2 linked regions of the Macaca fascicularis genome follow. The protein of the gene in region 1 interacts with the protein of each later gene in a pairwise test. Links are inferred from orthologs where the notes say so. Each region holds a gene or a part of one and is shown on either strand. Other genes may lie near its edges.

What was found. The genes of interacting proteins can lie anywhere in the genome.
Region 2: the proteins of FLACC1 (region 1) and SULT2B1 interact in binary tests that used the Homo sapiens proteins (3 or more experiments, as listed by UniProt). The two-hybrid records come from large-scale screens. The link is inferred for Macaca fascicularis from reciprocal best matches to the Homo sapiens genes FLACC1 and SULT2B1.

What each region holds. Positions count from the first base shown.
Region 1 is NC_088386.1:97,118,335-97,123,504, forward strand, and holds part of FLACC1 (flagellum-associated coiled-coil domain-containing protein 1), read right to left. Parts: intron 5,058-5,170; 5' UTR 5,011-5,057; coding exon 4,898-5,010; intron 4,390-4,897; coding exon 4,318-4,389; intron 1,921-4,317; coding exon 1,872-1,920; intron 424-1,871; coding exon 290-423; intron 1-289.
Region 2 is NC_088393.1:56,586,551-56,591,720, forward strand, and holds part of SULT2B1 (sulfotransferase 2B1), read left to right. Parts: intron 1-3,179; coding exon 3,180-3,360; intron 3,361-5,170. UniProt on the Homo sapiens protein: Sulfotransferase that utilizes 3'-phospho-5'-adenylyl sulfate (PAPS) as sulfonate donor to catalyze the sulfate conjugation. Responsible for the sulfation of cholesterol.

The DNA.
Region 1 (5,170 bases):
TCCTCACCCCAGGAACAATTGCTATCCTTTGGGATCAATCACATAACTCCCAATCAATCTTCATCCTGCCCCTTGGATCTGCTCACGGATGGGATCAGAGGAAAGAGAGGCAGATGTGGAGAGATGCATCATCAGGAAGCAGGGGTGGGGAGGGGGGTGCCCTTGTGGCCCCTCCAGAGCAGGCACCAGTGGCCTGGGTGTGGGCATAGTGGCTTTGGCTTATCCCTGAGGCCAGGCTGAGCTGGTGGGAGTAGCCCCAAGCAGCTGAATGTTGGTTCAACAGCATTACCTGGAAAATCTGTCTTTGTTCGGGATCTCCGATTCCCACCGCTTTTTCCCATCAAACATCTCATCCCCTAAGGTGACAGAAATCTGTTCCCGATTCCGAACAAGTTGATAGCCAGGTGACACGTTGATCACTTCCTAGGCATCAAGGGAAAGTAGGATAAAATGGCAGACTTGGAGTGCTGAGATTTCTCCAAATCTTCTCCTATTGCCTCACTCACATCTTAAAAACAGGGACCTGGGACTCCAGAGCCCACGCCCTTGTGGGCCCTTCACCCATTGTAGCTCATCCTCACATCTCTGAGACTCAAACCTGACGCTTAGTAGGCTCCTGGGTGTCCCTAGGGGCCTCTCAAGCTCTGTGCCACACCAAGCCATTGATGCCCCTGCCCTGCCACTTGTGTTCACCCTTGTGGCTGGAGGTGGGCATGCGGCAACTGCTCAGGTTTTGGAATCACAGAGGCCTGAGTAAATCTTGGCTCTGCCACCAGACAATAGCCATCCAGCATCTCTGTGCCTCAGTTTTCTCATCAGAAAGTGGGGTTAATAACTCCTTCTCAAATGGCTTTTGTGAGGGAAAAACAAAACAACATATGAGAAAATGACTAGGATCGTTGCAAACAAAATGTCATTTCCTCCTCCTTCTCCCATTAGATGCCAAGTCAGAAACCTGGGCAGGGCCTCCGCTGGCCTGGACCAGGGCAAGCCCTGGGGCTCTGAGAGCTGCACAGCACACGCTGCAGCCCCTTGAGCCCTGCCGTTGTCACCCCTTCATGTCTCTCTGAATCACCCTCCTCTCTCCACACCCCTGCCTGACAGCCCCAGGCCACCACCATCTTTCTCTTGGACTCTGACTTCTCTGCCTTCACTCTTGCTCCCCAACAGTTCATCCTCTCCACCTAGAGGGCAATTATATTTTTGCTTGTACATTTTTTCCCTAACCATTAAAGGACTGCATGGTATTTAAAAACAAACAAACAAACAAACAAACAAAAACTAGATAAACACAGAATACAGTAAAATGTATCAATTATATCCCACCAGAGACTGCTTCTTCTGAAATATAACTCTTACTTGGTCCTGTGCCTGTGTAAGACCAGTAAAGGCTCCCAGACACCAGAAGGGTCAGGCCCACATTCCCAGGTAGGCACCAAGATCCTTAGAGTTTGGTTCCCATCACCTTCTCTAGTGCCCTCCCGCCCCTGCTCCCCTGAGGGGTCCCGGCTGCCTCTCCCCAGCATTCGTGACTTCCCAAGGTCAGCAGAGGGCTTCCTGCATCTGGGCATGAGCTGTTCACTGGCCTGGACTAGCTGTCATGTCCGGTTTCCCTGGGACACTCTGTTTGCCTTGTGCAAGCAGGAGAGAGTGGCAATTAAATGCCCACTCTGGAATCTGGCTGAGCTGAGTTCAAGTCGTGGTTCTTACACTTACCTGCCATGCACAATATGCAATAATAACAGCACCTCCTCCCAGGATCTTTGTGAAGATTCAACAAGGTAAGTATAAAAATGTAAAAGGCCCACGCTTGCACATGGTAGGCGCTCAATACATTTTAGTCCCACCACCCTCTTCCTGCCTTTACTCACATAAAATGATTTATTGCTCTCTTCTTGCCTTGCTGCATGGATTTTCTTTCTGCAAGAGAAAGACATGCTCAGAAAGCAACCAGACAGCAAAGAGAAGTTCAAAGCTTAGGAGCTGAACCCTGAGGCCGCCACCATCTGACTTCTGCTCTCTGACCTGACCTTCTTAGGGGATCCCTAGGATAGTTGGGGAACTCACTGAAGCCGGGCTCCTGAGGGCCCCAAAGTGGGAGCGCTCATGAAAAGGTCCTGCCCAAGGAGGCAAAAGAGTTGTCCTATGATGTTGGGCAACTTCTGTTTTGGAGGAGCATAAACCAGCTAGAGGGACCCTTACATATTCTCCCTGAGTCAAGGCTCTGTGAGTCAGGTGACACCCCTCGCCCCCCTTTTACACACACACGGGCACACACACACTCAGTTCAGGGAACTGTAAGGAACTCTCTTTATTGGAGAATGAAACATTCTATATAAACAAATGTTCCAGATAATGAAATGAATCCCATTAAGATACAAACGTTGAAGTTAAACTTGTTTTTCATTCAAATCTTTATATATACTATATAAAAAATGAATACCATATATGTGTATATGTTCACAGTGACCTTTCCCTCCATCTCCAAAGCCAGCAGCAATTGCATCGCTCTGACCTCTGCTTCTGTTGTCACAGCTCCTTCTCTGACTCTGACACTCTGACCTCCTCTTTCACGTACAAAGAAGGACCTTTGTGATTACATGGGGTCTGGGATAATCCAGGATAATCTCTCCAACTCAAGGTCAGCTGATTAGCAACCTTAATTCCATCTGCAGCCTTAATTCCTCTTTGGCAACATATTTGCAGTCTCTGGGTGTTAGGGTGTAGACGTCCTTGGGAGGGGGTCACTGTCCTGCCCACCACACCCATCACCTCATTATCTGCTTTGAGCTCATCTCCCACCACTCCCTGCTCACTTGCTCCGCTCATGCCACACTGGCCTCTGCCTTCCTGGAAGAGGTCAGACATGCCAAGCAAGTTCCCACCCCAGGACCTTTGGACTTGCTGGTCCCTCTGCCAAGAGTGCTTGCCCCAGGAATCATCAAGGCTCCTTCTGTCCCCTTTACACAGGGACTCGCCCGACCTCCCTACATAAAGTATCCCCACCCTCACAGCCCCTCCCACTTTGCCTGCATTGTTTTTCTGTGTAGCACTTGCCAACCTCAGATGTAATAACTAGTTTATGGTCCTCTTCCCCTCCCTCACTAGAAGATAAGTGCCAGGAGAGTGGAGACTTTATTGTGTTTCTGGCTGTTTTCCCAGCACCTGAAACAGTGCCTAATAAATAATAGGTGTTCAATAAATATTTTCCAAAAATTAATGGAATACAAAGATTCATACAAAGACCTAAAACTAAGATACATTTCTAAGCTTGTAAAATGTGAGTAAAATTTTTAATTTGTGATTAAAACCAAGATGCAACCCACAGAAAATCTTAGACACAGGAAAGTAATCAGCTAAAGAGTGGGTCACCACCCTAAATGCATGGGAGGGTCAAGGCTCTGTGACAAAAGGGCGTATCAAGCTTTGGGCTCGAGGGCAGAAAAGAGCTATTGAGGGCACCCCTGTGGAGAGCAGTTGATACAGTGACTTTGAATCAAATGATGCAATGACTTTGGAAGCTGTGGATGCAGAGGACCCCAAAATCTACATGTAGGATCTGAGGTTTGCGAGAAATCAAGGTGGATTCTGGCAATTCTCTAACATCCCTGGCATCAATTAGTTCAAGTCAGGCCAGGTGGGAGGGAGATTATTTTATTCACATGCCTTAAACCATTTCTGCCTCACGGACATACAAATACTTAAGGCCAGGAGCAGTGGCTCACGACTGTAATCCCAGCAATTTGAAGGTCGAGGAGGGCTGATCACTTAAGGTCAGGAGTTCAAGACCAGCCTGGCCAACACAGTGAAACCCCGTTGTTACCACAAATACAAAAATTACCTGGGCATGGTGATGGGTGCCTGTAATCCCAGCTACTCAGGAGGCTAAGGCAGGAGAATCGTTTGAACCAGGGAGGTGGAGGTTGGATTGAGCCAAGATGGCACCACTGTGGTCCAGCCTGGGTGACACAGCAAGACTCCATCTCAAACAAACAAACTGCTGGGAGCAGTGGCTCACGCCTGTAATCCCAATACTTTGGGAGGCCGAGGCGGGTGGATTGCTTGAGTTCAGGAGTTCAAGACCACCCTAGGCAGCGTGGTGAAACCCCGTCTCTATTAAAATACAAAAAAGTAGCTGGGCATGGTGACTCGCACACCTGTAGTCCCAGCTAGTCGAGACACTGAGGCAGGAGAATCTCTTGAGACTGGGAAGTGGAGGTTGCAGTGAGCCACCGAGGTTGCGCCACTGCACTCCAGCCTGGGCAACAGAGTGAGACTCCATCTCAAAAACAGAAAACAAAACAAAACAATACTTACTTTGGGGAAACAACAGGTTTTGTTGGTTGGAGGTAATTGTGATTTTTTGGAGCTGGTAGAAGAGGAGTTAGCCTGAAAGTGAAAAACAATAATTAAAACAAAAAAGTTGGAAATTTGGAAACCCTTTTTAACACTCCCAGATTAAGTACATCCCTATAGTGACCCAAAATTGGAATGCATGTTCTGACAGCTGGAATCTTTAAAATCTGAGGCCTTTAAAACTCAGGCCCAAGGCCCTAGCAGTTGTTCACTGTCCCAGGAAGAGTTTGTCCCCCAGTTCCCAAAGCTCTTTATCCCACATGGAGGGGGCAGCTGCCATCAAGGCCCTTTGGTTGGAAGCCGTACTTTGCCTTTGCACCAACACTGAGACTTCCTCATTTAAAATGGCAAAAATCCCAGGCAGGGCTGGCAAGATGAGGGTGCAGCCAACCAGCTGGCAGGGAAGCTGGAGAAAGCAAGGCTTTCTGGCCCACCTGGGATTTTGCTACCACACTTGCTGTTTTAGAAATCTTGTGAAAGAAATGAGGCTACAAATGGATCCCAAGGTCCCTGTGCCTACCCCATCCCAGATAATTCTTACTTGGACCTCCCTGTGGAGTTCTTGTGTGGTAGTTGAGGGGTCTTGATTAGCTTCCGTGGTCCCAAGTTCCAGGGGTCCCAGCAGGTGCAATAGATGAGAGGGTTGGGGTACATGGCCAAAGGTCAGTGGCAGTCTTGGCTGCTAGATCAGGAGGCTCTTGCTGAAATCGAAAAACAACAGCAGAAAGTTAAACCATTTAGAATCAAAGCAAAAATACAGACAAATTGGGAAGAACCCAGGGAGGACCCAAAGAACAATGGTAGACTCCAGAAG
Region 2 (5,170 bases), on another chromosome or scaffold:
TATGATGGTGCCACTGTACAGCCTGGGCAACACCTCAAAATCCTGTCTCAAAAGAGAGAGAGAGGGCCAGGTGTGGTAGCTCACACCTGTAATCCCAGCACTTTGGGAGCCCAAAGCAGGTGGATCACTTGAGGTTAGGAGTTCGAGACCAGCCTGGCCAACATGGTGAAACCACATCTCTACTAAAAATACAAAAATTAGCTGGGCACAGTGGCACATGCCTGTAGTCCCGGCTACTCAGGAGGCTGAGGCAGGAGAATGACTTGAACCCAGAAGGCGGAGGTTGTGGTGAGCTGAGATCGCACCACTGCACTCCAGCCTGGGCGACAGAGCAAGACCTTGTTCCAAAAAATAGAAAGAAAAAAGATTGAACCACATGAAATGTCTGTATTCAACCAGTCTTTATTTATTTGTATTTATTTAATTTAATTAATGTATTCAGTTTTGAGACAGAGTTTCGCTCTTGTTGCCCCGCCAACCAGTGTTTATCTTAAGACGGTAATTTTCGCTGGACATGGTGGCTCACGCCTGTAATCCCAGCACTTTGGGAGGCCAAGGTGGGCAGATCACCTGAGCTCAGGAGTTCGAGACCAGCCTGGCCAACATGGTGAAACCCTATCTCTACTAAAAATACAAAAAAATTAGCCGGCCATGGTGCGGGCACCTGTAGTCCCAGCTACTCGGGAGGCTGAGGCAGGAGAATCGCTTGAACCCGGGAGCTGGAGGTTGCAGTGAGCCGAGATCACACCATTGCACTCTAGCTGGGTTATAGAGCAAGACTCTGTCTCCAGAAAAAAAAAAAAAAAAAAGGTAATTTTATACGGTTTTCCCAAATGTTGTTATTATCCCTATTTTATCGACGAGGAAACTGGAGGTTTGTAATTTCAGAGAGGGTTGATAACTTGCCCAAGGCATATGGCTCTTGCCTGCAGACTCCGTGGTTATTTTTTTCCACCCTGGTAACTTTCTTTTAATGGAAAGCTCCAGAAAAGGTGTTGGTACTACTCCTCCCCCTCTTTTCCAGCAAGCTTTCTTCTCCAAACCCAGAACTGGGCCACAGAGCCTAACAGCTTCTGGGCTGCTCCTGGGTGTGAGGTGCCGCCCACATGTTAAAATTTCTGGGACACGTCAGTGGTTCAAGAAGATAAAGAGATGGAAGGTTATGAAACCAGGAATGACCTGGAAAATAGGAGCCGTGGGGTTGGCGGAGCTGACCAGAGGGCTGACCGTGCTGGGCGCTACGTATCAAAAGGCAGCGATGGCCGGGCGCAGTGGCTCATGCCTGTAATCCCAGCACTTTGGGAGGCCGAGGCAGCTGGATCACTTGAGGTCAGGAGTTTGAGATCAACCTGGCCAACGTGGTGAAACCCTGTCTCTACTAAAAATACAAAAATTAGCCGGGCATGGTGGCACATGCCTATAATCCCAGCTACTTTGGAGGCTGAGGCAGGAGAATCACTGGAACCCAGGAGGTGGAGGTTGCAGTGAGCTGAGATAGCACCACTGCACTCCAGCCTGGGCGACAAAGAGAGACACAGTCTCGTAATCCCAGCACTTTGGGAGGCCGAGGTTGGCAGATCACCTGAGCTCGGGAGTTTGAGACTACCCTGACCAACATGGAGAAACCCTGTCTCTACTAAAAATACAGAATTAGCCAGGCGTGGTGGTGCACGCCTGCAATCCCAGCTACTCGAGAGGCTGAGGCAGGAGAATCACTGGAACCCAGGAGGTGGAGGTTGCGGTGATCCGAGATTGCACCATTGCACTCCAGACTGGACAAAAAGGGTGAAACTCCGTCTAAAAAAAAAAAGCAGAGGGGCAAAGGGGAGGACTAAGGGCTCCGGGAACCTGAGCTCCTCTCTGGCTGTGTGACCTTGGACAAGTGTCTCTCCCTCTCTGGGCCTCTCTTTACCAATTGAGATAATGACATTTCCCTTGCAAAGCTGATGGTGGGATCGGCACAAATGTATGGGGGGCTTGGATCAGAGCTTGGTACATACTAGACACTCAGTAAGGAAGGTGATATTTGAGCTGCAGCCATGGCAGTGGCCCTTCTGGAAGCCCCGTGCCAAGGCCTGGAGGGAGGAATGTGTAGGGAATGGTGAGTCCCAGAAGGAGAGGGTGGGACAGGTATTGGAAGAGCTGAGACCAGACCACATCTGCTCTTTTTTTTTTTTTTTTTTTTTTTTTGAGATGGAGTCTCGCTCTGCCACCCAGGCTGGAGTACAGTGGTGAAATCTCAGCTCACTGCAACCTCCACCTCCCAGTTCAAATGATTCTCCTGCCTCAGCCTCCCGAGCACCTGGATTACAGGTGCTCGCCACCATGCCCGGCTAACTTTTGTATTGTTAGTAAAGACAGGGTTTCACCATGTTGGCCAGACTGGTCTCCAACTCCCGACCTCAAGTGATCCGCCCGTCTCAGCCTCCCAAAGTGCTAGGATTACAGGCGTGAGCCACTGCACCCGCCCCACTTCTGTGCTTGAAAGCTGGGTCTGGGTCTGGGTCTGGGTCTGGGACTCTGTCCCAGGGCACTCGGGAGCCACAGAAGAGTTGGGAGCCAGTGAGGAGCAGGGTCAGTTTGGGTGTGGGGGATGAGCTGGAGGGGGATGAAGACTGGAGGCAGGGAGGTTATGGAGCAGCAGGCTGGGGCATGGGTCCAGGAAGGAGAGGATGAGGCCTGAGCAGTGCTAGGCTACAAGGGCACAGAGGAGGGGACATGGCAAGGGGAGGCAGGTGGGAAGGGACAGGTCTGATGACGGGACAGAGTTTGGGGGTGAAGGGTACCCAGAGAGGGAGGCCAGGCTCCTAGGTGGATGGGATCCTGCACTGGGAGCTGGGGGAGGAGCAGGTTTGAGATGTAGACCAGCCAATGCCTGTCTCTAACCAAAGGAAGGTGATTCCGGATAAGGGGATGCTCTGACCTCTGACCCTGCTGTGACCTCTGCCCCAAGCCCACCTATTCCCTCCCACCTAGAGAACCGTCCAAAGACAGAAACTGCAAAAACCCTTAGAGGCAATATAGCCCAACCCCTCAGCTTGGAGCTGGGGAAACTGAGGCAAAGAGGCAGCGTCCCTCAGGCAGCCCTGGGTTAGGACCCAGACGTGCAGACCCCAGGTTCCATGCTCCTTCCTTGGCCAAGTGCCCTCCCTCTGCTGACCCGTCTCCCCTGCCGGCAGGACTTACAGGGCTCCGTGCAGCGCATCTGCGGGTTCCTGGGCCGTCCGCTGGGCAAGGAGGCACTGGGCTCCGTCGTGGCACACTCGACCTTCGGCGCCATGAAGGCCAACACCATGTCCAACTACACACTGCTGCCTCCCAGCCTGCTGGACCACCGTCGCGGGGCCTTCCTCCGGAAAGGTGCGGGGGCTTTGGGGTTCGGAGCCCACTAGGCCACTGCCTGGCTGTGTGACCTGGGAGAGTTACTTAACCTCTCTGGGCCTCAGTTTCTCACCCAGCTGTAACATTGGGTGAACAGGGTCACTGTGGCCCCAGGGTTGATCACGCACAGGGCTTAGCACTGGCTTGGCACACGTGCCAGCCACCCGAGGCGTCCCCACCCAGAGAACTCCCAATGAGAGCAAAACGTCCAGGAGTACTGCCAACACCAGGTCTGCCCGAGAGAGGAGATCTAGAATCTTCACAAATCCTCCTCCACGGCCATGTTCACGGCAGAAATACTCAAACTTTGGGTTATGGGGTGCAGGCGGCAGCGCAGTTGTTTCCTCTTCCTGATGTAACGAACACCGCAAACTCCATGGCTCAAAACGACACACGTTTACTCTTTTTTTTTTTTTTTTTTTTGAGACGGAGTCTCACTCTGTTGCCCAGGCGGGCTGGAGGTTGCAGTGGCGCGATCTCGGCTCACTGCGACCTCCGCCTCCCCGGTTCAAGCGATTCTCCTTCCTCAGCCTCCTTGAGTAGCTGGGACTACAGGCACCCGAAACCACATCTGGTTAATTTTTATATTTTTAGTAGAGACGGGGTTTCACCATGTTGGTCAGGATGGTCTCAATCTCCTGACCTTGTGATCCACCCGTCTCAGCCTCCCAATGTGCTGGGATTACAAGTGTGAGCCACCACGCCCGGCTTTTTTTTTCTTTTCTTTTTTTTTTTTTTGAGATGGAGTCTCGCTCTGTCCCCAAGGCTGGAGTGCAGTGGCTCAATCTCAGCTCACTGCAACCTCCACCTCCCGGGTTCAAGCGATTCTCCTGCCTCAGCCTCCTGAGCAGCTGGGATTATAGGCATGCGCCACCACACCTGGCTAATTTTTGTATTTTTAGTAGAGAGGGGGTTTCACCATGTTGGCCAGGCTGCTCTTGAACTCCTGACCTCGAGTGATCTGCCCGCCTCAGCTTCCCAAAGTGCTGGGATTACAGGTGTGAGCCACGGTGCCCGGCCCCTGTTTTTTTAAATATGTTTTTAATAAGGACAGGGGTCTTGCTATATTGCCCAGGCTGGTCTCAAAGTCCTAGGCTCAAGCAATCCTCCTGCCTCAGCCTCCCAAAGTGCTGAGATTACAGGTGTGAGCCACCGCGCCTGGCTGCATGTACTTTTTTTTTTTTTTTTTTTTTTTTTTTGAGACGGAGTCTCGCTCTGTCGCCCAGGCTGGAGTGCAGTGGCCGGGTCTCAGCTCACTGCAAGCTCCGCCTCCCGGGTTCACGCCATTCTCCTGCCTCAGCCTCCGGAGTAGCTGGGACTACAGGCGCCCGCCACCTCGCCCAGCTAGTTTTTTGTATTTTTAGTAGAGACGGGGTTTCACCATGTTAGCCAGGATGGTCTCGATCTCCTGACCTTGTGATCCGCCCGTCTCGGCCTCCCAAAGTGCTGGGATTACAGGCTTGAGCCACCGCGCCCGGCCGCATGTACTTTCTTAACATTTCTGGAGGTCAGGAGTTGGGCTAAGGTCTGTCTCCCTGGGCTAAGCTCAAGGTGTTAAAAAGGACATATTTCTTCTGAAGGCTCTAGGGGAGAATCTCTTGCCTCACCTTCTCAGTTGTTGACCCACCTGCATTCCGAGGCTCATGGCCTCTTCCTCCATCTGCCAAGCCACCAGAGAAGCATCTTCTTCTTTCTTTTTTTTTTTTTTTTTTTGAGACAGAGTCTCTGTCACCCAGGCTGGAGCGCAGTGGCGCGATCTCGGCTCACTGCAACCTCCGCCTCCCGGGTT